4 linked regions of the Elephas maximus indicus genome follow. The protein of the gene in region 1 purifies or fractionates together with the protein of each later gene. This does not show direct contact. Links are inferred from orthologs where the notes say so. Each region holds a gene or a part of one and is shown in the gene's direction. Other genes may lie near its edges. The genes, in order: DHX9, ELAVL1, RALY and NCBP1.

Evidence for each region.
Region 2: the proteins of DHX9 (region 1) and ELAVL1 purify together in Homo sapiens (affinity purification with mass spectrometry; 3 studies listed by BioGRID and IntAct, with this or other methods). This does not show direct contact. The link is inferred for Elephas maximus indicus from reciprocal best matches to the Homo sapiens genes DHX9 and ELAVL1.
Region 3: the proteins of DHX9 (region 1) and RALY purify together in Homo sapiens (affinity purification with mass spectrometry; 3 studies listed by BioGRID and IntAct, with this or other methods). This does not show direct contact. The link is inferred for Elephas maximus indicus from reciprocal best matches to the Homo sapiens genes DHX9 and RALY.
Region 4: the proteins of DHX9 (region 1) and NCBP1 purify together in Homo sapiens (co-immunoprecipitation; 3 studies listed by BioGRID and IntAct, with this or other methods). This does not show direct contact. The link is inferred for Elephas maximus indicus from reciprocal best matches to the Homo sapiens genes DHX9 and NCBP1.

The regions. Positions count from the first base shown.
Region 1 is NC_064842.1:46,177,933-46,185,752, forward strand, and holds the start of DHX9 (ATP-dependent RNA helicase A), read left to right. Parts: upstream 1-4,814; 5' UTR 4,815-4,944; intron 4,945-7,820. UniProt on the Homo sapiens protein: Multifunctional ATP-dependent nucleic acid helicase that unwinds DNA and RNA in a 3' to 5' direction and that plays important roles in many processes, such as DNA replication, transcriptional activation, post-transcriptional RNA regulation, mRNA translation and RNA-mediated gene silencing.
Region 2 is NC_064821.1:12,746,013-12,753,093, reverse strand, and holds the start of ELAVL1 (ELAV-like protein 1), read left to right. Parts: upstream 1-4,061; 5' UTR 4,062-4,192; intron 4,193-7,081. UniProt on the Homo sapiens protein: RNA-binding protein that binds to the 3'-UTR region of mRNAs and increases their stability.
Region 3 is NC_064843.1:35,559,970-35,567,494, reverse strand, and holds the start of RALY (RNA-binding protein Raly), read left to right. Parts: upstream 1-4,518; 5' UTR 4,519-4,772; intron 4,773-7,525. UniProt on the Homo sapiens protein: RNA-binding protein that acts as a transcriptional cofactor for cholesterol biosynthetic genes in the liver. Binds the lipid-responsive non-coding RNA LeXis and is required for LeXis-mediated effect on cholesterogenesis.
Region 4 is NC_064827.1:47,538,653-47,545,594, forward strand, and holds the start of NCBP1 (nuclear cap-binding protein subunit 1), read left to right. Parts: upstream 1-3,924; 5' UTR 3,925-4,292; coding exon 4,293-4,326; intron 4,327-6,942. UniProt on the Homo sapiens protein: Component of the cap-binding complex (CBC), which binds cotranscriptionally to the 5'-cap of pre-mRNAs and is involved in various processes such as pre-mRNA splicing, translation regulation, nonsense-mediated mRNA decay, RNA-mediated gene silencing (RNAi) by microRNAs (miRNAs) and mRNA export.

The DNA.
Region 1 (7,820 bases):
CCCATCACCATCAAGTCGATACCAACTCATAGTGACCCATAGGACAGAGTACCTAACCTAACCTAGTGCCGTCGAGTCGATTCCGACTCATAGCAACCCTACAGGACAGAGTAGAACTGCCCCATAGAGTTTCCAAGGAGCGCCTGGCGGATTTGAACCACTGACCCTTTGGTTAGCAGCCATAGCACTTAACCACTATGCCACCAGGGTTTCCAGTACACATAGGACAGAGTAGAACTGCCCAATGCCGTTTCCAAGGAGTGTCTGGTGGATTCGAACTGCTGACCTTTTGGTTAGCAACCATAGCCCTTAACCATGACCTTACACCTTCAAACCAAGAAACCAGATTCCATGAGGTTTTGGTTGTACATAAGCAGCCTCAGCAATTGCTCCTTTTGATGCTGTTGTTGGAAACATATCTATCACATAGTTTTTGCCAATTCAGCTTTTTACAGGTGTATAGCTTATTGACAGCAATTACATTAATTGCCTGTGCAGCCGTAGTCTTAATCAATGTGATTTTTCCGTCACAGTAATACGGTTCCTTGTTTAATGCTTCTGTTCTACTTCCTAGTTCGTTGAGTATGCCTGGGGTCTTAAAAGTTTACAAGTGGCTGCCATCCAAGGTACAATTGGTCTCTATTTGCCTAGAGCAACAGAGGAAGATGGAAGTTCAGGAATAGGAGGAAGAAATGGAAAGTGTGACCAATTGTTTTCATGAACAACTGCCTCCTTTGCCATGAGACCAGAAGAACTAGATGGTGCCCAGCTACCATTACTGAATGTTTTGTTCAAAGATTCTATAGAAAAATCCTGATCAAAAGGGAGGAAATGCAGAACAGAATTTAAAATTTTCATGGAATCTAGTCTTTCTGGAGCCATAAAGGCTGGATGAACCCCTGAAACTGTTACCCTGAGATAATCTTTAAACCTTAAACCAAAAATAACCACTGAAGTCTTAAAACCAAACAATAGTTTAGCTTAACTAGTGAAGGATGTCTGCCTTGACCATTCTGTTCTTTTAAGACCTCTATGGGATTAAATTGACAACAACTGCTCAAAAGATTAGGAAATTTAGGGAGTAGTAATTTTAGGTTAATGGGGGAGGAACCACTCAGAAAAGGAGGGTAAGAATGGTTGTGCAACTCAAAGAATGTAATCAATGTCACTGAATTGTACATGTAGAAACTGTTGAATTGGTATATGCTTTGCTGTGTATATTCTCAACAAAAAAAACATTAAAAAAACAAAGGACTTGCCCTAAAAATTTATGTGTTTTAATGGAATATTTAAAAATATAAGGCTATATTGATTCTTCAACCAACTCAACATCATCAGAGCTACATCTTCATCCTTGGGGAGAAAGCAGAGGCTTGCCCATGTATCCTTGAATAAGCTTTCCCACCTTTTAAAGTATTTTTGATTAAATATTTAACATGTATAAAAGAATATCACATGTGTAAGGTGTAAAGACTAATATTTATCACATATGTGAAAGTGCCTGGTGGCACAGTGGTTAAGAGTTACAGCTGCTAACTAAAAGGTTGGTAGTACAAATCCACCAGCAGCTCCTTGGAAACCCTATGGGACAGTTCTCCTCTGCCCTGTAGGGTCCCTGAGAGTCAGAATCAACTCGATGGCAATGGGTTTGGTTTTTTTGGTATATGTGAGGGTGTAAAATATTCATTTGTTATAATTACTTTATAAGGAGCCCTTGTAGCACAATGGTTGAGCTCTTGGCTGCTAACCAAAAAGTTGGTGGTTCAAACCTACCTGTGGCTCAGTGAGAGAAACTCAATGGGGCAGTTCTCCTGAAACCTATAGGGTGGCTATGAGCTGGAGTCAACTCAATGGCACACAACAAGAAGAATTACTTTATGGTGTAGTACTGATATTTCATCAAATCTAAGATGCTATTGATTGTAAAACACCGTTATTTTACATACCTCTAAGAAAGGAAAAAACACTGACAAAGCATAACATGCCATCTAATTCCAGAGATACAAAAATGTTTTTGAGGTTTTAGAAGTGATAACGATATAGCATCTTTCCATTTTTAAAATGAGGTAACCATGACAAAGAGAGGTTAAATATCTTGAGTGGAGTTACATATGGTCTGTGGCAGAGCCAGAATTTGGAGCTTAACTGAGTGACACCAGACTATTTTACATCAAGAATCTCAAAACCTTATGTCCACTTACTATGTGTCTTTAACAATACCTCTTAGCCAATGTTATCCTTAAGATATAAACCCAGGGACCTCCTGATACAAAGAATCAGCTTCAGTATGGTACAAGGTGGCAAACAGTATAAAATGGTTGTATGGGAGGTAGAATTGCTTCATGGTTGTAAGTATGGCCTTAGATCCAGGCTGAGGGAATGTAAGGCCCAGCGCCACCACTTATCAGCTGTGTCTAAATTATACTTCAATAAAAAAAAACTAGATGGTCCAGGATTAACGAAATGAATTATTGAGTGAGTTCCTTCAGCTTGGCCTGTGTATAGTTGAAAGCTCTATGTGCAGAACAGTCCCCATGTCACCACCAACACTTGACGTTGTTCACTTTTCTAATTTTAGTTTTTAATGGGCAGGTTGTGATATTGTTTTAGTTGCATTTTTATTGTTACTGATGTTTTTGACCACCTTGAGTACACTTGGTAACCTTTTGGTTTTCCTCTTCTGAAAATTGCTTGTTCATGCCTCCTGAGGTTTAGTCAGCATCAGGTCCTCAAGCAGTTCCTCTTGGTTTGATCAGCCTCCACTCACTGGCCTCAGGCCTCTTTGGAACCAGGACCAAACACTGAATTGTTAGTGCAAGGGATAAACTACGCCTTGCATCTACCAAACTTAGGAATGAAGTCAATGTTTCTAAACTTATTTCTAGCCAGAAAGGTAAATGTGAAATGTTAAGTGGTCCAGTTGAAACAGACCTCTCATTATTTGACCTGTGGCCTCAGTTCCAAACTCTTAGGTAGCAAGAACGTTACTTATTTTCTTATAAGCTAAAAAAAAAAAAAAATTCCTACCCTGCTTTGCTAATCTCTGCAGTCTCCTAGATAGAACATCTAAGTGTAAATCCAGCCACTCTCTGGACTTCTGGGCCAGTTGAGTGCTTTCAGGTTTCATCTGCAAATGAAGATCTTAGAAGGTGCCAGTTGCCAGGGCAACCTACAATGGTAATGCCAGTTATGGGATCCAGTCCCTGGGGAGCTCTGGGTCTCAGGTGCAAAGCCTAAACTAAGAACCAAGTCAATAACAAAATTCTCCTTAATCCCTGAAAGTTAAAGATCCACTTCTGAAAATTTTATTTGCACTTAATGAAATATGTTGGCACTTTTGCTGTGTTCATTATCTACTACAAAACACTTGCAATCCATCTATGCTTGTTGATTCCTTATTAAGAGCATAAATAAGTATCAATAACACCTGCAGCTTAAGCACGCTGAAGGATACAAAAGAAAGAAAAGATTAAGGTCTTTCAATGATTTGATTCTCAATTCACATAAGGAAAATAAAAGGATGAATAAATGCTAAACTGTATTGTTCTGATTGTAAGTGCAAGAGAGTTTTAAAGAAGGAATTGATCACTATAAACTAGAAGGGTTAAGAGAAAAAATGTCATGAAAGAGGTGAAAAATAAGGATGGATAGGTATGATGCTCTCGTATTATTGATTGGTCTGTAGTCTCCAGAACAACCCCAGCAAAAAAAAAAAAAAATACTTTGTATTGTTGCCTTCATGAGTGGTGTAATGGTTAAGAGTCTTGGCTGTTAGCCAAAAGGTTGGCAATTTGAATCCACAGCTGCTCTTTGGAAACTTTATGGGGCAGTTCTACCCTGTCCTATAGGGTCTCTGTGAATGGAATCCACTCCACAGCAATGGGCCTTTTTTTTTTTTTTTTTTTGTATCTAGTCAAGAGGAGCCCTGGTGGTGAAGTGGTTAAAGCAGTTGGCTGCTAACCAAAAAGGTCGATGGTTTGAACCCACCTGCTGGCCGCTCAGCGGGAGAAAGATGGGGCAGGCAGTTGGCTTCCGTAAAGATTTAAAATCTTGGAAATCCCTTGGGGCATTTCTACTCTGCCCTATAGTGTCGCTATGAGTCAGAATCTACTGATGGCAGTGGGTTGGTTTGGGTTTTATGTAGTTAAGGATATAAATTATTCTAACGACTGTAAAGACAAGAGGATATTCAATTTAAGCCGTGTTGGTTTTATTCATTTGGGTCGTATGAATGAAGGTCCCAGCTTTCATAGAGCTTATTTCCTTCTCAGGGGATGTTCACATTCAGAGTATCTGAATCACTAGTAACTTTCATTACCATTTATTGAGCCCCTATTTTTTATACGTATGTGCCAGGTACTGAGTTAAGCCTCGTCCTTTGTCTTCTTATTTAATCACTACAGTCCAATGAAATAAACACTAAAATTTCCAGTTCTGTCTAAGAAGGGCGTCTCTCTCACCAGAGGCCCTTATCACATAAACTGGGAAACATCTTGTTGCATTAAAAAGCTAAACACCTCCCGCCGTCCCCTCCCTAAAATATTCAAAAGCATTAAAACTAGCAGCTATGCAATGGCGCCCTAAGCGCAGCAAGCTCCCAGGCGGTAAGATGAACGCCGCGCGAGGCTGCAGCAGGCCCGCCCCGCCCCCACCCGGGCGTCCCGCCCCGCCCCCACCCGGGCGTCCCGCCCCGCCCCCACCCGGGCGTCCCGCCCCGCCCCCACCCGGGCGTCCCGCCCCGCCCCCACCCGGGCGTCCCGCCCCCACGCTCGCCCTCTGCGCATGCGTGCGTGCACTAACCCCGCCCCTCTCGCGACGGTCGGAGCCATTTCGCCGCCGTCTCCATGCTGGTTGGGGTGCGCTCTGCAGGCGTCTCTGTGGAAGGCCGGAGTTACGGGCAGCCCTAAGCGCGCTGTGCTCTCGGGCACCAGAAGGCGAAGACTGGTAAGGAGAAGATACACTTCCCATCCTTTCCACTCTGCGGGGCGGCTGGCCCAGAGGCCCTGCGGCACTGCAGCCTGGCTTTGTTGCGTAGCGCGGGTGGCGGCGGCGGGTGGGGGAAGGGACGAACGGCCCTGCGAGTCCCCGGATTGCGGATTGTGTGCGCTGCTCGCTGAGGCGCGCTTGCGCAGTTCGAGGCCGCGCTGTGGGCCGCTAGTCCTCCGCCCAGCTCTCCCTTCAGCCTCTAACGCGCAACCCCCGCTTCCTCCATCAGCCTTCGAACGCCGGTGGTGGCGCTGTGCCGCTAAGGGAGAGGGGGGTGACTTGTCTACTTCTTAGCCGGCGGAGACCCCAGGCAAGGCCTAGCGCCATTCATTCGTGCCGCAAATATTCGTTGCTATCCTACAGGCACTCTCATGGAGCAGTAAGCAAGTTAGAATCCTTGCCTTTCCCTCGAGAGGTTGCGGGGAGGGGCAGGCGATACAAAAATGAGTATTTGCAGGCTTTTGTAAAAAATAGTAATCAGAGTGTAAAGGCAGAGAGCTGCTTGAGATAGTGTGGCAGGGAAATGGGTCTCGGACGAAGTGGACTTTTGAGCTGATAACTGAAGGCCGAGAATGCGTCATCGAGATGCGGAGGCAAAGCAGAGCTGCAGAAGGGATTAGTTAGCCGTAAAGCCAGAAATTGGAAAGGGGCTGAAAAAAGAAAGGCCACGTAACTGGAGTGTGGCGAGAAGGATTTAAGAATAGATTTTAGCAACACTGGAAAAGGAAGCCATTTTAAGACTCTATTGCAGTACTCTGGGTGTGCAATCGTGCTGGCAGGGAAAGATGGAGAGAAGCGAATGGGTTGGAGACATTTTGGAGGCAGAATTGCATAACGGTGGCAGATGGCACATCTGGAGTCAGACTGCCAACCTTGCTTGGTATTCTGGCTGCTCCAATTACTAGTTGTGTTTTCTAGGGTAAGTTATCCTTTGTGTTAGTGTCTTCGCCTGTAAAAGGGGAATAATGATTAAAAAAAAAATCCCATTGGGAAGTCGATTCCGACGCTTAGAGACCCGAAGAACTGCCCCATAGCGTTTCCAAAGAGCACCTGGTGAATTTGAACTGCCGACCTTTTGGTTAGCAGCCGAGCTCTTAACCACCGTGCCACCAAGGTTCTAGAGCTGTTTTTTAAAAAAAACATTGCCCTTGAGTCGATTCCGACTCGTAGCAGTAGCAGTTCTGTAGGATTATATAAATTCATGAAGATGATCCTCTAAGATACTGTGGCACATAGTAAGGGCTTTCAAAGGGGTTGCTGTGGATACTCCTGAGGAGTGGATGACTCCTAGATTGTGATGAAAGAGGTGGATGATGGTGCCGTTATGGAAATGGGAAGGAAAGATAGAGACAAGTTTGGGGAGGAAATTTAAAATTCGGTTTTTCCTCTTGGGTTGCAAAGTAAGCATTCAAATGAGTATGTTAATACTGCAGTTGGATGAATTATGGTTTTGGACTGAGCTTTCGGTACATATTTGGGCATCATTAGCATATAGTTGGTATTGAATATCTTGGGGTTAGATGAGACTATCTAGGAAGAAAGGAATTTGGTAGTGTAGTCCTTCTATTTCATGATACCGAGCCACCCTGAGGGCTTGTTTTTTAAATTAATCTCGGGTGGAATGTACAGCTAGGTATATTCAGCTTTTCGAGTAGGGTGGCCCTTCACCAAATGACTGATCAGGATTACCCTGTGGCCACAGAATAAATCTAACCTTACACCAAGGTCTGGTTTGATTACATTAGATTTAGGTGTTAACAGATGTACCAAGCATGAACAGAAGACAGAGGTTTAGTTTAACACTGGTAGTAGAGATTTCTCCTCACAGCAAACAAATCATAGGATATTTTCTCTGGTTCTAAATACAGACTCATATCTTGCTTGTAATTCAGATTCAGGTGCCAATAATCTGGGGTGCAGGGGGAGTGCCAGCAAGTATGATGCTTGTTCCAATGTCTTGATACAATTCAGGAAAACTTCATCATCAAGTAACAAGGCCTGAAGGACACATTTGGTACTCTGCCCCCTTACATTCAGACAACAGACTTTTTTTTTTTTTTTTTAAACAAAGTAATGAGAGGCAACCAGAGGATATTTAGCAATTTATAAGTAATAGCAAGCATTTATGCACTTGGCAAAGGGAAAATTAAAAGGTCGACTGCTCCCTGATAGTGTTCCTTACATTGTTTCCATTGTTAGAGTATGAAAAAGGATTCGTTCAGTTATCTCTCTAATGCGTTAAGCAATTTTTTTTTTTTTTTTAATTTTGATATTTGGTACAAGTATCTTAGGAACAGAAGTGAGTTACGTGGGAGCACTTTGAACATTGGGCTTCAGAAGGATTGAAGTGATGAGGCAATTTTAGAGCTAAGAGTGGACATGAGGGACACTTCGGAGGCATGTAAACATTTACTGAATACTGACTGTATTTGGACTTTATATACATGTACACATACACATATGTGTATCTTACACCCTTGAAGGTAATCTGTTAGCAGTCATATCAGAATGGTAGCAAGCCGTTTGTTTTATATACGATATGATTGATTTCTTAAATATAGTAGTTTGGGTTTGCGTTTAGGACGCCACAGTGGGTGTCTTGGAAAAGTTGCTTGACTTTTCTAAGCCCTAGTTATTTTCTCTGTTTAAAAGCAATTATGGTATTTATATAATAGTGTCTACCCTAGCTATCATTCGTAATGAAAATTGAGTTAAAATACATAAGGTGATTGTTGTAGAAAGTAGAACATTCCATAGAGGTATTTTTTTTTTTTTTTAAAGATACAAAAAAGTCAGTCACCCAAAGGTAGCCATTTTGAAGTGTTTCTTTTCAG
Region 2 (7,081 bases), on another chromosome or scaffold:
TCTTTCCAAGGTGTGCAATATGCAAAGGGGGAAAAATCGAGTAACTTTATAGTGGAGAAAAGCTGACAAACAATGCTTCAGCTATGTGATCAAGGTTAACACCAGTGGTCATAAGTAATGTTGACAGTGTGTACTTTTGATAGGATGTGATGACAATGGCACTTTACCTCTGTGGTCTTCCTCCCAATAACCCATTGCTGCTGTTAGCTGATATCAAGTTGGTCCCCAACTCATGGCGACCCCATGCACAATGGTACAAAACGCTGCCCAGTCCTGTGCCATCCCCATGATCAGTTGTGGATAGGACCGTGGTGATTCACTGGGTTTTCACTGGTTGATTTTCAGAAGTAGATTGCCAGGCCTTCCTTCCTAGTCCATCTTAGTCTGGAAGCTCCACTGAAATCTGTTCAGCAAGTGTTACGGATGGAATTGTATTCCCCCAAAATGTGTGTCACCTTGGCTAGGCCAAAATTCCTAGTATTGTATGACCATCTACCATTGTGTTATGTGATATGATTAGCCTATGTTTTGCAACTCCTACCTCTATGATGTTAATGAGGCAGGATTAAAAATGAGGCAGGATTAGAGACAGTTAAATTAATGAGGCAGGACTCAATCTATAAGATTAAGCTGTATCTTGAGCCAAGCTCTTCTGAGATATAAAAGAGTGAATCGGGCAGAGAGGAAAGAACCTCATGCCACCAAGAAAGAAGTGCCAGGAGTGGAGCATGTGCTTTGGACCTGGGGTTCCTGTGCTGAGAAGCTTCTAGACCAGGAGAAGGTTGATGACAAGGACCTTCCCCCAGAGCCAACAAAGAGAGAAAGTCTTCCCCTAGAGCTGGTGCCCTGAATTCGGACTTCTAGCCTCCTGGACTGTGAGAGAAAAATTTCTGTTTGTTAAAGCCATCCACTTGTGGTATTTGTTATAGTTGCACTAGATAACTAAGGCAGCCAGACAGCAACACATCGTCTTGAGTTGTGGGTTGTGGCTGCACATGACGTGCACTGGCCAGAATCTAGCCTGGGTTTACTGCATGGAAGGTAAAAATTCTACCACTGAACTACCAATGCCCTCAACCCTAGTCTTAATCATTAGAAAAACATCAGACAAATTCCAGTAGAGAGGTTCCTATAAAATACCTGATCAGTACTCCTCAAAACTGTCAAGGTCATCAAAAATATGGGCACTGCCACAGCCAAGAGGAATCTAAGGCGACATGGTAATTAAACGTCATATGGGATCCTGGATGGAATCCTGGAACAGAGAAAGGACATTAGGTAAAAACTAAAGAAACCTAAATAAGCTAGGGCTTTAGTTAACAGTTATGTATTGGTATTATCTCATTACTTTCAACACATATTAAGGTAAGATGTTACTAATAGAGGAAACTGGGTATAAAGTATATAAGAACTTTCTATATAAATTCTCAACTTTTCTGTAAATCTAAAACTGTCCTACAAAAATAAAGTCTATTACTAATAATGGAGCGCTGATGATGTAGTGGTTAAGAGCTCGGCTGCAACCAAAAGGTCTGCAGTTTGAATCCACCAGCTGTTTCTAGGAAACCCTATGGGGCAGTTCTACTCCATCCTATAGGGTCGCTATGAGTCAGAATCGACTTGACAACAAGGGGTTTGGGGGTTTTATTATTAATGATAATTTTTTAAGTATTAATGAACAAATGAAGGACTTCATTCTTCATCATGGTGACAATCATAGCTACCATCTCATATAACAATTGAAAAGATGACGGGGGAGAACACATGTCTGAATCATCTAGTGCTGCTATAACAGAAATACCACAAATGGATGGCTTTAACAAAGAGAAATTAATTTTCTCACAGTCTAATAGGTTAGAAGTCCAAATTCAGGGCATTAGCTCCAGGGGAAGGCTTTCCCTCTCTTTCAACTCTGGAGGAAGGTCCTTCTCATCAATCTTCCCCTGGACTAGGAGCTTCTCCTCGCTGGAACCCCAGGTCGAAGGGAAGCACACTGCTCCCGATGCTTCTTTCTTGGTGGTATGAGGTCCCCAACTCTCTGCTTGCTTTCCTTTCCTTTTATTTTTTGAGAGATAAAAGGTGGTGCAGGCCACAACCCAGGGAAACCCCCTTTACAATTGGCTCAGGGATGTGATTTTAGTACAGATGTTACAATCCCACCCTAATCCTCTTTAATATAAAACTACAATCACAAAATGGAGGACAACCACAAAATACCAGGAATCATGGCCCAGCCAAATTGATACCCATTTTTGGGGAGATATAATTCAATCCATGACAACACACATAGTTTTTAACATGCAGTATGCATCCATTTCAGAGTACTCGCTACTGTTGTATTAAACTGGTGCTGTACACTACAAGAAACACTAGTCCTATGTGGGTATTTACATTTTAATTAATTAAAATTAACTAATTCAATTTAAGTTGGAAATTGGTATTAGAAACCAAGATCTGGGCTCTAAGTGTCCTTGTTGCTATTGGGGTATTGTTTCTTCTAGACCATCAATGCTTTTTAATCACCCAGAATGCACCAGGTGCAGGCGCTTAGACCTGGGGATACAACAGTTCCTCAGTGCCACTGGCCACATGTCAAGCACCCAAAAACCAAATGGCTACAGAACTGGACAGCAGAGGTATAGGACCTACTCATTATCGCAGAAGCCTTTACTGGACAGTGTTGCACTAAACAATGAAGAGTGTAGTTATCTGTTCAGTGTCCTCAGCTCTTTCAGGTCTTCCTGCAAATGCCATCTTCTCATACTGAGGCCTTCCCAACCACCCTCTTTTAAATTGCAACCTTGACATTCCCCATTTCCCTTCCCGATTTACTTTTTATCTTACCACTTTTCCCCTCTTTGTTTCTTTTCTGTTTCTTCATCTGGCACTGTGTGGTCCGAAAAGGTAGCCACCAGCAAGATGTGGCGGCTGAGCCCTTGAGATGTTGTCAGTCCGACTTGAGCTGTGTTGTGAATGTAAATACACACTAAATTTTGAAAACGTGGGAAAAAAAAAGACCTCATAATTTCTTATGTTGATTACATATCAAAATAACAATATTTTCAACACAATGGGTTAAAGAAAACACATTATTAAAATTACTATGTTTCTTTTTCTTTTTCAGACATGGTTACTAAACCAATAAGAAAAACAAAAGCCAAACCCACTGCCCTCTAGCCAATTCCAACTCACAGCAACCCTACAGTACAGAGCAGAACTGCCCCATAGGATTTCCAAGACTGTAAATCTTTACGGAACCAGATTTCCGTATCTTTCTTCCACGGTGCAACTGATGGGTTCCAACCACTGACCTTTCAGTTAGCAGCCGAGCGATTAACCACTGAGCCACCGTTACTACTAGAAAATTTAAATTACACAAACGGCTGGCATTTGTGGCTCCTTTATATTTCTACTAGACGCAATCGTCTAGAATGTCAGCCTAATGAGAGTTCATACAGTGACTGGCTTATACTAGGCACTCAATAAAATCTTAAAGAATGAATGTTAGCCGGAGCCTCTGGGAACCCGTTAGCTCTCACAGCCCACACTGCTGGAACTCTAACAACATCCTGGGCCCCGCCTCCTCGCCCCACCAGCTAAGGAAACTGAGGCCAGGTGAGATGACGTCAGCCCTTGCCCAACGGCACGTAGCGCGAAAACGCGGCGTCAGGATTCGAACCCGGGACCTGTCCCTTTCCCTTTGGTGCGATGACCGTTCCTACCTTGCAGGGAAGCGGGGTAAACAGGAGCGGGACACACGATGGACGCCCGACAAGGAGCGCCGCTCCTCGACCCACCACCACTCTCTGCCAGCCCCGGTCTTCGCGGGGCTGGACCCTCAGCTCACCCCTCCGCGGCCATCTCCACTGCCCCCGTCTCCGCCGGCCGCCGAGCCCTCCGCAGGCGGCGCCGACCGGAAGTTCCGCCTCCCCGCGCGCCTGGGAGGCCGCGACAGCTGCGCCGGCCAATGGGAAGCGCGCCGTGACTGGAGCTGACCAATGGGTGCACGCGCCGGGGGGGCGTGTCCGCGCCGCGGGCCGGAGCGGGTCGTGCGCGCTGAGGAGGAGCCGCCGCCTCGTCGCCGTCGCCGCCGCCGCTGCCGCCGCTACCGAGGCCGAGCGGAGCCGTTAGCGCCGCGCCGCCGCCGCCCGCCCGCCCCGGAGAAGCCCCGGGCCTGCCCGCCCGCGCCCAGGTGAGGCGGGGGCCTTCCGCGGTGCCCCGCGAGGTAGGCCGCGGCAGGCCTGAGCTCGCCTGGCCGGGCCCCGGGCGTCCGCGGGCCTGCACCGGCCGAGGCCCAGGCCGCGCCGGGCCGGGAAGGAACGCGCGCGGGACGCGGGTGTGCGGGGGGCGGCCGGTGTGGGCGCTGGCGACAGAGCCCGGGCCGGATTCCTCGGCCGCCGCGAGGGGCGGGCGAGGGGGTACACGGCGTGGGCACGCGCCTGGCGGCCAGGCTCCGCGGCCGGGGCCGAGCGCTGGGCCTGGGGCCCGGCAGCCTTGGGAGCCCGGGATCCGGGGGCGGGAGAGTGAAGCCAGAGGCGGGGGAGTTGGGTGAGCGCGGTCTGCGCACTGAGGTCGCCCGCGGCCTCCGAGCTCGCTCCCCCGGGAAATCCTCCAGATTCTTTTGTGGTCGTTGTCAGAGGCCAGCGACCGATCTGGGGTCTTTTTTGAAGTGTGCAAACCTTTCGGTGTGTACGGGAGTCCCAGGAAAATGTATTTTTTGAGCGCCATCTCTAACAAAGCTGTTTATGGGGCGTGGGATGTTCGGGTTTGTAAAATGTGTGTTGAAAACACAAACTGCACGCATTTGAACAATGGGGCATGGATGCTCTGGCTTCCTTTTCCGGTACCCTCTGCTACTAGGCTTATTAAAATGGGTTCTGGTACCTACTGTGTGCAGGACAGGTGAGGAAGAACTTCTGCACTGCCCCTGGAGGAAGAGTCGCCCTGACTGAAAGTATTCTAGTGGGAGCCGATGGCTTATGCTACAAGAAGTGGGAAGCTGGGGAGGATGATGGGACTAGAGAAGGGTTTCTTAACCAGGGCACTATTGACGTTTTGGGCCAGATAATTCTTGCTTGTGGGACACTGTCCTGTGCATTATAGGATGCTTAGCAGCATTCTTGGCCTCTACCCACTAACCACCAAAAAAAAAACCCATTGCCGTCGAGTCAGTTTTGACTTATAGCGACCCTATAGGACAGGGTAGAGCTGCCCCACAGGGTTTTCAAGGCTGTAATTCTTTACAGACGCAGACTGCCACATCTTCCTCCGGTGGAGTGGCTGGTGGGTTCGAACCGCCGACCTTTTGGTTAGCAGCCCAGTGCTTAACCACTGTGCCACCAGGTCTCCTCTACCCACTAGATGCCAATAACATCCTTCCCTTCTTTTTCAGTTATGAGGCTCAGAAATGCCTCGAGACATAGCCAAATCCCCATGGGGGCAAAACCACCCCAGGATGAGAACCACTGGACTAGATGATCTTCCACTGAGTCCCTCAAACCCCATCCTTCACTCTTATGCCCTGGTGTTCAAGGCTCCCAAGAGCTTGGATAAGCTGAACTGTGAGAGCCTTGGTTTCCCTGTCTGTAAAATGGGAAGGACAAGAATATTCTTGTGCAAATTTGAGAAAACAGTTTGAGAAGCCCCTAGCATTGTGCCTGGCCTGTGCATGGTAGGTACTGAATAAATGACGTTCTAAATAATTGCTGATATTTATTGAGAATGTACTGTGTGCTTAAGACTCCGTGGACATTTATCTCCAGCCTGTGAGGTAGGTACTGTTATAATTTCCATTTTACAAATGAAAGCACCTAGGCTTAGTTGAGTCACTTGATATGACTAATCTCACTCAGTAAAATGGCCAAACCAGTATTTGAACTCGGGCCCCTGACTCAAAAGTTCTTACTCTTAACCACAGGGTTTCATTGCTCTTGTATAGGTAGTCCCCAACTTATGACAGGGGTTATGTTCTGACAACTCTGTCGTAAGTCAGTTCCGATGTATGTCGAATATTTCATTTTTTTAAAAGTTTTCATCATTATTGCCTTTTATTATCAGTATCCTTGTAAATCATAATATTGAATGTCTGCAAGTGTGCACCTGAGAATAACAACAGCAAATTATGTGCTGCAACGTTGTATGTAGTACACATTAATAATATGTGCAAAAAAAAGCAGAACGACAGACAATGGTAAGTGCAGTTTGTTGATGGTAAGTGCAGTTTGTCGTAACTCTAATACGTCATAAGTCCGGGACTACCTGTATTCACAAGGGTTCATGAGAGCCCTAGAGGCAGGGTTTCCAGGAATTGCGTTTAGTTGTCATTGAGCATCAATTGTGTGCAAAGCTCTGCTGGAACCCGTTATAAAATCTCACGACCTTTGGGTCCAGTAAGAGGCTGAGACACACGAACATCTCTAAATGTGGAAGCAAATAATGTTTATGCTGACGGCTGGTCTTGAGCGGGGGCAGAATTTCAGTTGAGATACGTTGAGTCTGAGGTCAGGGACCAGCAAGTGGGATATGAGAGGGAATTATGAAAATGCCTTCTTCCTGACCCTTGCTTTATTGCTTCTCGCACTGTGACCATCTATCTTCCTGCATTCCATCCACGCTCTATCCACGCTGTAGCAGGAGTTGTCATATTAAAACATAGGTCTGATCACATCATTCCCAATTAAAAGTCATTGGGTGGAAAAACATAATTATAAGTGCTTTGACGTCTTTGGGTGGCTTACAAGATAATGTCGTGAGCCCTGAGCTGGGGATTCCAGGTGTTTCACACTTTAACCCTCCCTTCCTTTTGGACCTCATTTGCCCCGACCCCAAACTCTGACCCTGTTGGCCTTTTGCTCCCACTGACTGCTCTCCTCCTCCTGGATATTTCTTCCTCTTGCCTGCATGGCCCAGCGCAGTGCCCACTCAGGACTTGAAGCCCCCTCAGACTCCCACGCTTCCTTTACCCCCATCCACCAGCATCAGCTGTTCCTTGTGTTCCTACCCCATTCAGTTTTTGAATCAAATTAAAGCTCAGTGGTGAGAGAAGTGCAGTTACTACCTGTCACCCCTAGATGGCAATAGT
Region 3 (7,525 bases), on another chromosome or scaffold:
ATCGGTTGGGAGTGACTCTGGGGCAAGTGGGGTGAACATCTATTACTTAAACTGCTCAGAACCATGAATTCTGTCTTAGTTTGCTGGTGCTGCCATAACAGAAATAGCACAAGTGGGTGGCTTTAAAGAACAGAAGTTTATTTTCTCACCCTTCAGGAGTCTAGAAGTCTGCATTCAGGGTATTGGCTCTAGGGGAAGGCTCTTTGTTAGCTCTGGGGGAAGATCCTTGTCTCTTTCAGCATTCCTTGGTTCCTTAGCAATTGTCACATGACATCTGCAATGGACAGAATCGTGTTCCCCCAAAAATGTGTTGTAAATCCTAACCCCTATACACTTGGAGGAGCCCTGGTGACGCCGTGGTTGTTAAGAGTGTAACTGCTAACCGAAAGTTCTACAGGGTTGCTATGAATTGGAATTGACTTGACAGCAATGGGTTTTTTTTTTTTTTTTTTTTTTTTAATACGTGGATATAATCCCATCTGGGAATAGGGTTTTCTCTGTTATGTTAATGAGGCCATATAAGTGTAGGGTGTGTCTGAAGCAAATCATTTTTGAGATGTAAAAGGAGCTGTTTCAGCGAGAAGCGAACAAGAGCAAATAGAGGGGAAGATTCATGCCACGTGAAAATCACCAAGGAACGTAAGCTGAAAAGAGACAAGGACCTTCCCTCCAGAGCCGACAGAGATAGAAGGCCTTCCCCTAGAACCAGAAAACTGAACTTGGACTTCTCTAGCCTCCTAAACTGTGAGAAAATAAATTTCTGTTCATTAAAGCCACCAACTCGTGGTATTTCTGTTACAGCAGCTCTAAGAAACTAAGACAACAACTATCTTTCCCTTTCTGTACTTGCTTGTGTGTCTGCTGCTAACATAACTCAAAAGCGATATGCCTAAGGTTCTGTATGGTCAGTGGCAAAAGGCACGGAGGAATACCTGCCTCCCGGGCTAATGCACTTTCTGGTGGGAACAGCACTACCTCCTTCCTGCCTGCCTGATTGGGAACCCTCTCTTGGCCCCTCCCTGACTGGGGTGAGGAGTAGCCAGCCCTCCTAGCATTGTCCCAAGTCCAGTATTACAGTATAGCCAGAGTTTAGTGCATCAGTTTCCCTATCTGTAAAATGGGACCTGGAATAGAATGGTAATTCTCAAACCATGTTCTGTAATTTGTGGAGGGACCACTGCATAAGGAGGGTGGTTCGTGGCTGGGTGGGGAGACTAGCAAACAGGACTCTGGGTTCCTTTCCCTCACTTCATGCAGAGCCGCCCCCTACCCCAATCTGTTTTATGCATCGCCTTTCTGAGAAAGGTCTTGCTTAAAAGAAGGCTCTATAGCTTTAAAGAGTTTAAGAACCCCTGGATAAGGTGTCTTTGAGGACCTTTTCAGTTCTAATAGCTCATGATTTTACAAGTTACAGAAAAAAAGAATAGCTTTCATGATGATATGACTGCTATTTTGAGTGTCTGCTCCTATGTCAGGCACTATGCTAAGTGCTTTACATATACTTGTAAAAAAAAATTCCTTACAACACTGGGATGTAGGGAATTAATCATCCCCGTTTGGCAGATAATGAAACTGGGACTCCAGAGTAAAGTAATTTGCTCAGGATCACACAGCTGGTAGGTAGTGTAGTAGTAGAGAGGGCTTTAACCCAAACTGACTAGAAGGACAAACTACCAACTCGGGCAGAATCCAGGTTGGAGATATGTCCTTTGGCCTGCACAGTGCTTTTTTACTTCTTAAATTTGAATGAGTTGCCCACATTAAAAAAACCAAGCAATTTCATATTAAAAAAAATGGATTTAGGGGTTTTTTGTTTGTTTGTTTTTAAGAAAAGTGGAAGATCTAGTAATACCGGGAGCCAGTCTTCCCACATGGCAACAACTGTTTGGGGCTGAGTAGCAACTGCCTCCTTTAGGAGGGGCACGAACTCCCCCACTTGCCACAGCCCTCACTATACCCCACTACTTACACCTTGCCCACTTGTCTCATTTTTTTTTTATACTGGCCCTTTAGGCATTTGAGTTTACAACCCCTGCCCTAATGACAAGTCTGTGTCTTCAATGGCTTTCTCCATCTAGATCCCTCTGCTTCCATCTGCTCTTTTTCTAGCTCCTGCTGCTTCTCCCCTATTACCTCTCTCTCATTTGCCCCTTCCTCTTTATTCACCTGCCTTCATTCTTTGTCTCATTTGAAGACACCTGTTGGATCCCTTCATTCTTTCCCCCATCCCCTCAAACCCATCTTCCTAATCTCAGCACAGGTATCTCTACAAACATCATTGTCAAATCTCTGAAGGGGGATGTGGACCATTTAGAGGGAGCTCAGAGGGCAGAATTAATTCCAATGGCAGGGAAATTAAGTGGTTGAATGCACGCCTCAGAGAGCCCTGGGTTCAAATTTGAATTCCTTCACCTATCATGTGTGGGACATTGGTCATGTCACATTTTCTTATTGTGAAATGGGGACAAAAACAAAACCAACCTTGTAGAATTGTTTAGAGGGTTAAACTTAATGTTTTAAGTCTGGCACAGAGTAGGGGAGACAGACAAAAACATGTAGAAAGACAAATAAGAGACATAACTTTGAGATGCAATAAATGCCATGAGGAGAAGGAACAAGAGGCCAAATGAGAGAACATAGATGGGGAGTTCAGGCAAGGCCTGAGGTGATATTTAAGCAGAGATCTGAAGTATAAGAAAGAGCCGAAAGTTAGAAGAGGTGGGGGAAGAACGTTCCAGACCTTGCTCTCAGTATCCCCATCTCTCTAGTTTGATTACTTTTCCTTCTGGGAACAGAAGTCATCAAATAACACAATAAATTATAACTGCTGGTCTGGCAGAGCCAGGCTCTCCATTCAAACCGCTCTGAGAAGGAAATTCTGTTTCTCGGCAACAGGAAGGCAGGTTTTGAGGGGAGAGATGTGAAAAATACAATCAGGAAATCATAGGCCAGGTTGGAGGAGGCACAGATTTGTCTGGCCAGTTTTTAGCCTTGAGGAAAGTCTATAGCCGATGACGGAAGGACACTGGTCCTCTTGTGCTCTCAGAAGACCCTTCTGACTGTTCCGTGGAGGCTGGAACACTAATCCAGGTGAGGAGGGATCCCGACAGAAGAAATGTTTGAGAGAACCACCACCCAGATCATATTATAAAACATTTCTTGCACCCCAGAAGGATAAAAAACAAAACGAAACACACAAACCAAACCTTTAGCTAAGTCAATTCAGGCTCATGGTGATCCCATCTGTTACAGAGTAGAGCTGTCCCATAGGGTTTTCTATGGAAGCAGGTCACCAGGCCTTTCTTCTACAACACTGCTGGGTGGGTCTGAACTAACAACCTTCAGTTAGTAGTCTAGCGCAAACCGTGTGCACCACCTATGGACCTCCTAAAAGGGCAACCCACTGAAAAAAAGACCCCACCGCCGTGGAGTTGATTCCAGCTCATAACCACCCTCTAGGACAGAGTTGAACTGCCCCATAGGGTTTCCAAGGCTGTAAATCTTTAGGAAGCAGACCGTCATATCTTTCTCCCGCGGGACGGCTGGTGGGTTAAAGGGACTTGAATTTAATCTTCCAAGGTGGGGGTGGTACCTCATTCCCAGACCCACCCTCACCGCAGCCTCTCCGCCCAGTCCTGGCCTACACAGCGAGGGGTAGTCTTTACTTAGTCCAAACACGTGGTTCCTTGTAAGTGTAGAAAAACCTGATGCTTCTCGATTTCATCTCTCCCGGATCCCTTGAGCATCACCCCCGACCCACCGGTTTAGGCCCATCTTCAGGCCCCGCCCACCTCAAGCACCACCCCCTTGGTCCTCCTTTAGGTCTCACCTCCTTCCGGCTCCTCCCCAGAGTGGGCTCTATTGGCCCCTCTCCTTCCTGCTCTGCTTCCGGGCCCGCCTCCAGTCCCGCTTCAAGGCTTCCTCTCTTCGGGCTTTCTCTTCAGCCCCGCCCCCGGCCTCCTCCCCTTCTAAGGGCCCCGCCTCTTTCCAGCCCCGCCATAGCCTCCCTCCACCCTCACTCCTCCTCTGGAGACGGTCTCCCTTTGCCCCGCCCACAGCTCCTTCTTTCAAGCACTGTCCTGGCTCCCGGCTCTCCGAGGCCTTCACTACCTGCCTTGACGCTTCTCCAGTTAGGGCATCACCACCCTCTTAGCCCCGCCCCGCCACCGGCTCCGTACTGGTTTAAGCGAATCCTCCTTCCCTCTCCTAGCCCCGCCTCTTCAGGCTCCCACCTCATTCCCTCCTCCCTGTCAGGCTCCGCCCTGAGCCCTCCTTCCTTTTCTCCCCGCCAAAGCTCTGGACCTTTCCAAAGCCCGGCTGAGCGGGTGGGGAGAGCACAGGCGCTGGGAGAGTCGGGCTGTGTCGGGGCGGGGCTGCGGACTCCACGTGCGAGTGTCATTCATTCCCTTCCCAGGAGACACAGGCGGGGAAAGGGAGGGTCCAGGGCCGGGGCCGGAGCGGCGGGCGGGGCCACGCTGAGGGAAACCTCTTTGGGCGCCCCCACCAGCGCGCGCCTCAGTGGTGCCGGCCGAAGGAAGGACTTGCAGCTGCGGGGCCAGCGCCACTGTCAGTGCGGCGGGGCGCGCGAGCGGTGCGGGCGCAGGGCGGGCTGAGGCGAGAGAAGCTGAGGGGGCGGTAGCGGCGGCGACTCTCGTGCCTGTGCTCAGCCTCCTCACGCCGCCTTCCTTTCTCCCTCCCTCCCTTCCTCCCCCGAGTGCGGCGGCACCGCCTCCTTCCGCGCCGCGCGGCTTCCTCCAGGGCTCTCGGCGCGGGTGAGTGGGGGCCGCGGGCGTCTTCTCGGGGGTGCGGGAGGGGGATTCCTCGCTCCTTCTCGGTCGCCCTCCTCTTCTGGCCGGCCGCTCTCTATTTTTAGAAACTCTTTTTCCGACAATCCAGGGAGTCCCGAGAGCCCGAGGAACTCCAGGCCCCCTTTGCCCGCACCTCCCCCGGCCGGGGCCCGCCGCCCCGGGCCGCCCTCCCTCGCCCGCTCCGGGCCGCCCGGGCGTTCCCTGCCCGCCTCCTCCCCGCGGGCCGGGTCTGGGCCGGGAGTTGGCGGGGTGGGCCCGCGCCCGCTCGGAAGTTGGAGTCTTTTGTGCTCGCGCCCCGCCCCTCCCGGCGACGGGCGGAGGGAGAGGAGCCGAGGCCGCGCCGGAGAGGCCTTGGGCGGGTTCGGCCCTGGCTCTGGCCCTGGCCTCCGGCTTTTTCCGGCTTCCCTTCCCGGGCTGGGCGTGCGGGCTCCCGGAGGCGCAAAAAACTGGTCCTGCTTCGCTCCCCACGGGTCTGAGCGCCTCGGCACCCACCTCTGCTGGTTGCCTGTCTCGGGCTTGGAGGGGAACAACAACGGGCCCTCGACCTGGGGCCATGCAGCCCCCTCGAGGCCGAGCCACAGTTTGCCCCTCCGTGAAATAGGGGAAAAAATGAATCTCGCATCGCAGGTTGTTTTGGGGAGTAGGGGGAACGGATATATGAGGGAAGTGTTTAATACCAACAGGTAACATTTAACGAGACTTGACCAGTGCCAGGCCCCTTGCCAGGCATAAATTTTACTTCATTTAAGGCCCACAAGTCTTTTGGGGTTGCCCCATTTTACAGAAGCAGAATTCAAAGTGTAGAGAACTTAAGTAGAAATAATTTGCTCCAAACTACCCAGTTAGTAGCTACGGAAATGTAAGGCAATGGTGCTGATACCTGTTATTTATTTCCTGGTATGAGCTTGTGTAATCCCGTAGTGCAGAGGGGATTATGACCGGGTCAAACTATTAGAAGCATAACTGGGTTTTCCCCGAGTCCTGGGCCAGTGTCCTATACTATAAAAAATAGGCATGAAATCCCATTCTGGGACTACCAGAAACTCCGTGGGAAAGGTCAGGATGAATTTCTTGCTCGTGTTGCAGCTAGAAGTTGGTGGATACAGGAGATTCCAGACCTCAAGCATAACTGAAGTTGCTGGGGCTTCGCCTCAAGGAAGGCTTACATCTTTATAAATAATGAGGTCCGTCCTTTATTTTGTCGATGGTATGCTCCTTCACCATTGTCTTCCCTCCTCCCCCTAACCTTGCACATTCTCTATATAGCATTTAATGGATTTTAGTTGAGGGGAGCAGGGAGTGGAGGCTTAAGTCATCCGCTTCAACTCCTAGCCTTCAAGCAGGGTTTTATTTTCAGATAAGGCCCAGAGGGGTTAAAGTGAACTAAAATTAACTTTGGGAAGTGCTGAAGTTTTCCAGTATGTTTGATTCTGGGTGTTGGGAGTCTGAAAATCAGGCAGGAGAGTTCCGGGGCCAGGTCTGTAGGAGTCTTTTAGAAGAGAGTTTTATCCTGATGTTCCCATTGGTCCTTTGGAGTCTGATGGGTCGGCAGTGCTCTCCCTCAGAGGTTCTGAATTTAGGAGTCATGGTATGTAGGAGCTGGAGGCGTTCTCACAGACCATCTTGTCCAACTTTCTGATCTGCCTTTTCCCCCTTCCCTAGTGACTGAACCTTGGGAAGGGGAAGTAAGTTGTCTAAATTCACAGATGGCCTTAGTGACAGAATCAGAACTAGAATTCCCAGTCCAGTCATTTTTATTTATACTATACCGTGCCGCCTATGAGAGGGCTTGAAACCAGTAATCAGGCCTGAAGTAAATGGAAATCCCAAGGAAGTTGTGTAGTCCTAGCCACTCTCCATTGCTTCAGGTTGAACATTAAAAGGAGGCCAGGTTTTGTACACAGGTGTACCAGTTCTTATAAGTGGCTGCTTTTATTTTTATAGGACTTCTATGGTTTATAGCACTCTTCTGTAACCATTATCTGATTTATAATCCATTTCTGTGAGAGGATTCACAGAGCTTTGTTTATATCATCTTTTTAGTATAAGGAAATTGAGACTTGGCAAGGTTAGGCCACTTGCCTTAAGTTACAGAGTTAACAAGTGATGGAGGCAGGACATGTCTCCTGGGCAGTGGATTTGATGTGGCATCATGAACTGAGCCACTCATCATGGCTGTCAGCTCACAGGGGGTTATGAGCAAATGGCTGTGAAAGTGCTTTGTACTAGTAGTAATAACAGCTAATATTTGTTAAGCACTTACCATGTATCAGGCATTGTACTAAGGACTTTCTGTGGAGTATCTCATTTAGTTCTCAGAGTGATAGTATGAATTAGATACTATTATTATCCCTGTTCTACAGAAGAAGAAACAGGCTTAGAGTTACACGATTTGCTCAGGGCCATGTTAATTGCCAACTGGCAGAGCCAGGGTTCTAACTGCAGACAGTATAACTTCAAAGCTGGCACTCTTAGTACTTCCCTTAACCACAGGGTGCTCTGTAAATTCAAACTGATTATTAGTCCTCGTCTGCAGCATGTAGCACACAGCCCCAGAGAGCAGGTACCCAGGCCTGGTTGTACCTCTGGTTAAACTTCTTCCCTTTTTCCCCCACTTTGTGGACTGAAGCTCCTTATCACTAAAGCCTTTTTTTGGAGATATCTGCTGGCCTCTTTTGTGTCTTCAGAAGAGACCTCCTACCCTTGGAAGTACAGCC
Region 4 (6,942 bases), on another chromosome or scaffold:
TTCTTCCTCAGAAAGCCTGAAACAGTCACCCTACCTTTCTAGGCTCATCTCAGGCAACACTCCCCCTCACATACTCTGCTCGGCCACACTGGACCTTTGCCTAGTTCCACAAGCAACCCTTGCTTTCTCCTGGTTCAGGATCTTCACACACGCCTTTCCTACCACCCCAAAATGATCTCTTTCAGTTACCACCTAATTTAGTTTCATTTATTTATACACTTTAACTATTATTTGTGGACATTCTCCTGCGTGTCTAGCTATGTGCTGGAGATGAAGTTCTGAATGAAAAAGTCAAAGTCTCTACTCACTTGGACTTTATAGTTTAGAAAGGGGCAAAGGACAATAAATAAGTATACAAATAACCATAAGACCTCCAAGACTATGGCCCTAAGACACCCCTCTGACTTGGAACTGCAGCCATTCCTGGAAACCACCTTCCAGCGAAGGAATAGACAGGCCTAAAAAATAAACAATAACACCCAAAAAGAATACACTCCATAGAATAAACAATTATACAAGACCAACAGGGCAACATATGCCCCAAAAGTAAAGATGAAAGGGCAGGAAGGGGTAGGAAAACCAGATGAAAGGAAACGGGGAACCCAGGGCGGAAATGGGGAGAGCGTTGACACTGCGAGGATTGCAACCAATGTGTGGAACACTGTGTATGCGATTTGTTGAATGGGAAAATACTTTTCTCTGTAAACTTTCACCTAAAACAATAAAACATTTTAAAAAATAAACAAACGTGAATACCAGATAGTGGTAAGTGCCACTCCTTCTCAGTTTCCTTTGCTGGATCCTCCTAGTCATCCCAACCTTTAACTGTTAAACTTGCATATCTGTGCCCACTCCCCAGGTGATCTCACCTAGTCCCAAAGTCTTAACAACTACATTTGCTTCAAAATAATGGTGGAGGTTGGGGGGAAGAGCACATTAACATAGGTGAAACCAGACTGGCCTTGAGTTGATAACTGCTGAAGTTGGATGATGAGTACATGAGGGTTCATTATATAATTTTCTCTACTTCTGTAAATACATCCACTAAGAAAGAAAAATAAGAGAAACAACCAAAAATTTATGTTTAGTATACCACACATCGGAGCCCTAGTGGCGTACTGATGAAGAGCTTGGCTACTAACCAAAAGTTCTGCAGTTTGAAATCCACCAGTCGCTCCAAGGAAACCCTATTGGGCAGTTCTACTCTGTCCCATAAGGTCTCTATGAGTCAGAACTAACTTGATGGCAAGAGTTGTATCTGTTTGTTTTTTGGCTTACATATTGAATGACCCCAAATTTCTATCTCTAGCCTGTACCTCTCTCTTGAATTCCAAATTCACAGATTCAACCGTCTACTGGATAGCTTTAGCTAGATGTCTAACACGTTTTTCAAATGGAACTGTTCAAAACTGAACTCTTTATGTACTCCTCCCAACCCAAACCTGCTCTTCCCAGTCTTCCTCACCTCAGTGAAAGACAATCCTATTCTTCCTGTTACTCAGGCAAAAAACCTTTGGGATGATCCTTGAGTCTTAATTCTCTCACACTATCATCCTATTCAGAAATCATTCTGTTCAGAAAATCCTATCAGCGTTGCTTTTGAAATATAAACAGATCAGACCATTTCTCATCACCTTCATTACCACCCTAGTTCAAGTCACCATCATTTCTTGCCTGAATTATTCCAACAGCCTAATGCCCTCCTACTGTAGCAGCCAGTGTGATACCTATAAAAAATAAGTAAGATCACCCTCCAAGGCTTCTCGGTTTTTGCAGATAAAGTCCAAAGACTTTGCCATACTTCTCCCTCCCACAACCTCTCTGATCTTATTTTCTACTACTCTCCCCTTGCTTCCTATTCAGACTTCACTGGTCTTTTTGCCCATGCCTAAATGGGTCATGGGAACCCTGGTGGTGTAGTGGTTAAGTGCTATGGCTGCTTACCAAAAGGTCAGTGGTTCAAATCCACCAGGTGCTCCTTGGAAACCCTGTGGGGCAGTTCTACTCTGTCCTATAGGGTCGCTATGAGTTGGAATCGACTCGATGGCAAGGGGTATGGTACTGTACGGTAAATGGGTCATTAGAATTTTAGCTCCAAGAGAGCTGAGGTTTTCCTTTGTTCACCACTATATTCTCAGCATCTAGAACAGTCCCTGGTACATAAACCAAACCAAATAGATGTCATCGAGTTGACTCCAACACATGGCAACCCTATGAGTGTCAGAGTAGAACTATGCTCCATACGGTTTTAAATAGCTGATTTTTCAGAATGAGATCACCAGGCCTTTCTTCCAAGGCACATCTGGGTGGACTCAAACCTCCAATCTTTCAGTTAGTAGCCAAGCTCATTTACTGTTTGTACCACCCTGTGGCCATGTCTGGCACACACCCCCCCCCAAAAAAATACAGTGCCCTCGAGTGGATTCTGACTCATAGTGACCCTATAGGACAGAGTAGAACTGCCCCATAGAGTTTCCAAGGAGCACCTGGCAGATTGAACTGCCGACCCTTTGGTTAGCAGCCGTAGCACTTAACCACTACGCCACCAGGGTTTCCGTCTGCCACACAGTAAGTGCTAAATACAGTATTTGTTGAATGACTGAATGAATGAAATAAAACAGCAACGCATGATCTCGTGGCAGGGACAGCTAACTTATATTAGGTAGCCAGGGAAGATCTTACTAAGAGCCTGATGTTTGAGCTCAGACCTAAATAACAAGAAGTTAGCCACACAAAGATTTAGGAGCAGAGACCTTCTGGCAAAAGAAAAAGTTGAGTGTAAATTTCTAAAGTGGGGCCAAGCTTGACTTATTGAAGGAACGGGAATAAAGCCAGGGTGGTTGCCGCACAGTGATGAGAAGGTAGAAGAGTGTACGCCATGGTTTGCAATTCGCAGTGGAAAGTCACTGGAGAGTTTTATACAAGGAAATAGCATGGTCTGATTTACATTTTAAGAATATCTTTCCGGCTGTTCTGGGGGGAAAGGACTGCAGGCAAGGAAAGACCCACGGAGGCCAGTCGGGTTAGACATTCATCAGGGCAAGAGATGACGCTTGCAGCAAATGAAGAAAAAATGGCAGCAGTGGAGAAATGTGGACCAATTCTGGATTTGTTCTGGAAGTAGAGCCAGCAGGAGATACGGGTAGATTGTTATGCAGAAGTGAAGGAAAGAGAATTCTAGAATGACTCCAGCCTACATTTTTGGATTAAGTAAATGGATGGTGCCATTTTCTGAAATGGGTAAGCCTGAAGGAGGAATAGGTTAGGCCAGGAGGATGAAACAAGACTTCTATTTTCGATTGTGAAATTTCAGATGGCCATGGACGAGGCAGTCAGAGAAACCAGTGTGGTGCTCGGAGAGACGTCAGGGATGGAGATGTTCATATACACATACACAGTCGCCAATAGCTAGTGAAAACGATACTGAGAACGATCAACTTGTTCGTCCTTAAACCAGCCACTCGTCGAGGTGAGAGGTAAGATGACAGCCAGAGGGTGAGCCCCGGAACCGGAGGCTCGCGTCAGGGCCGCTCCTCCCATCGTAGGGGGCGACACGTGCGGCTCCGCTCCCATCCCGGCCCCACCCCGCACGGTGGGCCTGGCCTAATCTGTCCGCCCAGCGTTCCCGAGGCACAAGACGGGAAGTGGGGGTAAAATGAGCACGTACCCGCCAGTCGGATCTATTCTTGGGTCTTTCTTCACTGAACTGTGTCCGCCTAGCAATGGTCACTCACTGCACTTGGAACCTACAACCCCGGTTGTGTGTTTACGTAGGGACGAACGCTCGGACGTCACCTCGCTCCGGAAGTCTTGGTGGCCGTTAGCGAAAGGGCCGCCGGGAAAACCATTGAGAGGACCCGGGGGCGGGGCTGAAGCTGAGGCTGAGACTAGAGAGTCTGTCCCAGCCGCCCGCCGCCTACATGCCTGGCTCGCGGCCGGCGGGCTCTGACTGGCTGAAGCGGAGGCGGTTTGTGCGTGGCCCCGGAAGGACATAGAGCGACTGGCGGGAGGAGGAAGCGGCCGGGAGGCGGAGGAAGGCTGAGGGGGGTGGTTGCGTGCAGACCACACGTCGGCTCCTGGTTTGCCTCTAGACGCCGTCTCTCCCGGATCCGAGCCCGCCGAACCCTCTCGGCCGACCCTCCTTGGGTTTTCGGGAGCTGGAGCGAGCGACTGCGCCTGCGCGCCGGTGGGTCCGCGCTCCTCGCCGCTGTCCTCGCGCCGGCCGGCTGCTGGACGGTTCCTGCCGTGCCTCCTGCCCGGCGTCTCGGTTCTGAAGTGCACCGGCGTGCGGCATGTCGCGGCGGCGGCACAGCGACGAAAACGATGGTGAGTGCCTAGAGCCTGGCCGCCAGGGCGCGCTCCGGTGGGAGCCGAGGTTTGCCTTCCTTGGCTTTCGAGTCTCGAGGGAAGGAACGGCAAGCCCTTCTCTCCCGGGAGCGTTCGCGGAGCCACGGAGGATGGCGGGGCGGGGGTGTGGCTGGGCGGATTCGGGAAAGCTTCGTGCCAGCCGCAGCGCCTTTGGTCGTCGACCGATGGTGGGGAATGAGGCTTGGTGAACCCCTGGTCTATAGGGACTCTTCAGAATTTGGCCCTCGACATCATGTCTGTGCTGCCGTCTCAGAGAGCGGTACCCACTGGTACCAGGCGCTCGTTTTGATCCTCAAAGCTTTATCTGAAAATAGCTTTTTCAAGACTTTACTGAAGAAAAGGAACAAAGCAGTGACTGAGAGATCGGGTGAATTGCAGTCTGAGCTCTACTCCTCTACTGTACATCCGTTGATTTGCCTTCTTTCGAGCTGGAGAGAAGAGATTTTGTGTCTTCACCCAAGAGGTTACTCACTAATAAGCAGATGTATAGTATTGCATTAGATTTTAAGCTGACTATAAACATATTTCCATGGCATGCCGGAGAACTAGCAGGAGAGCTCTTAGAGATTTAGAGTTGGGGTTCCCGTCTTCGTTTGGGTGGTTATACTTATGGGGGTCACGTTGTGGCCGTTGTAAAAACTTAAGAATTTTACTAGTAAAAAAAAACAGCAAAAGTTGCTTACATTCACATAAGCATTATGAAAATCAGTCAAGAACACACATCCACAGACAGAAAGACATGAAAGATTAAGTCTGTTATTGATATTTGAGTGCATTATTTGCTGAAGAGGGTGTAGAGTAATGGTTGAGAGGCCAGGCTTTGGAATTGGGGGTATAGGTTACAAGCTAGACCCCACGATTTACTTTGGGGTTTTGCCCAAGTTATATAACCTTTTTTCACTCTTAATCTGTAAAATATGAACAACGCTGCTTACCTGTTCTGGTTTTTCTGAGGGTTAAATGAGATAATTCATGAAACAAATGGCTCGTAATGATTTTTTTTTTTTCTTTTTACTTTATCTGTTAAGGCTTAAGTGGTGATAAGCAGTGGCAGATGCCCACAACGTAAGGAAAAAATAAAGAACAAAAATTTTTAATTCAGTACATTTTCTTCTTGAATATTGGGGCAGTTAGAGGTGAGGACAGAATCACAAATCTGAAAATACCAGATTGCTACTAAGGTATGGCTTGAGAGGATTTTCTGGCCCAGCCTCCTCAGACACCCAAGGGTACAGAGACTTAGTGTAATTAACATGGAGACACAGCAAGAAGTGCCCAGACACCAGCTAAAGCAAGTTCAGGGCTCTCTCTACTACACAGGTGTTATTGTACTGCATGCTTTGATTTTAACACATGGAGTCTTCTTGTGTAACATGCATAAACTAATCTCAACAACTCAGTGCCGTCGAGTCTATTACGACTCATAGCAACCCTATAGGACAGAATAGAACTGCCCCATAGAGTTTCCAAGGAACATACATACAGGACACAAAAACTACAATTTTTGTGTACTTAGAATTTGACTAATCCAAAAGTATTATGTTTGAAGTCATCGCTTAGGGTTTAGAGAACATGAGTCTTTTGTTCTTCCCATTTTCTTTGTTCTTACGTGTTTCTCTACCATTCCTCTCCCTCTCCCTTCTAAGGCACCCCTAAAAGGGAGGGAAAATGAGTGTATAATTCAGTGACATTGTTTTTAACATTGGCTGGCACTAAATGACTGTACGTTTGGACCTTGCTGCAAGAACCTCAAAGTAAGTAAGTACAGACAAAAAGAAGGAAAACAAGGAATTAAGCAAAATTCACTATGGCAGATGATTTAGTAATGGAGGGACAATTTATAGTTCCTCCTTATAGTACATCAAATTGGGAACTTTGTAAATTGCTACAGTATGGGTAATGATTATTAGAGTTTACCTTAGACAGTGACCTGAATCAAATATTTTGAATGCTTTTTTAATTAAGCTTCTACTAATACTTTTAAATGACAAATATTAAAAGCTTCAATATTATAGAAGGATATTTTGGTGGCGTAGTGGTTAAGTGGTATGGCTGCTAACCAAAAGGTCAGCAGTTTGAATCCATCAGGTGCTCCTTAGGAACTCTATGGAGCAGTTCTACTCTGTCCTATAAGGTCGCTATGAGTCGGAATTGACTTGATGCAACGGGATTTTAAAAATAAACTAGGGATTGCTAAAGTCAGAATTAGATGGATATAGCTGAGCATTTCTGGATTATTATCAGCTCTCATCACCCACTGATAGCCCTGATTTTCCGTGTGTCCGGCTGGGTATAATCATTTATTCAATAAATATTTAACAGTACTGGGCACTGTTCTAAATACTGGCAGTACCTCAGTAGATAACATAATGGTAGAGCCTCCATTCTTGTATAGGGCTACAGACAGAAACGATTAGGTAAAATATCATGGAGCATATGGTGATGAATGCTTTGAAGAAAAGTAGAATTGAGTATAGGGGATAGAGACTGTGCTGTGGGGGAGAAATTACTACATTGAAACCCTCAGGAGCCTGAACTCAAAGAGACTGCCTTGTTTTCTAGGTCTCGCAAGTT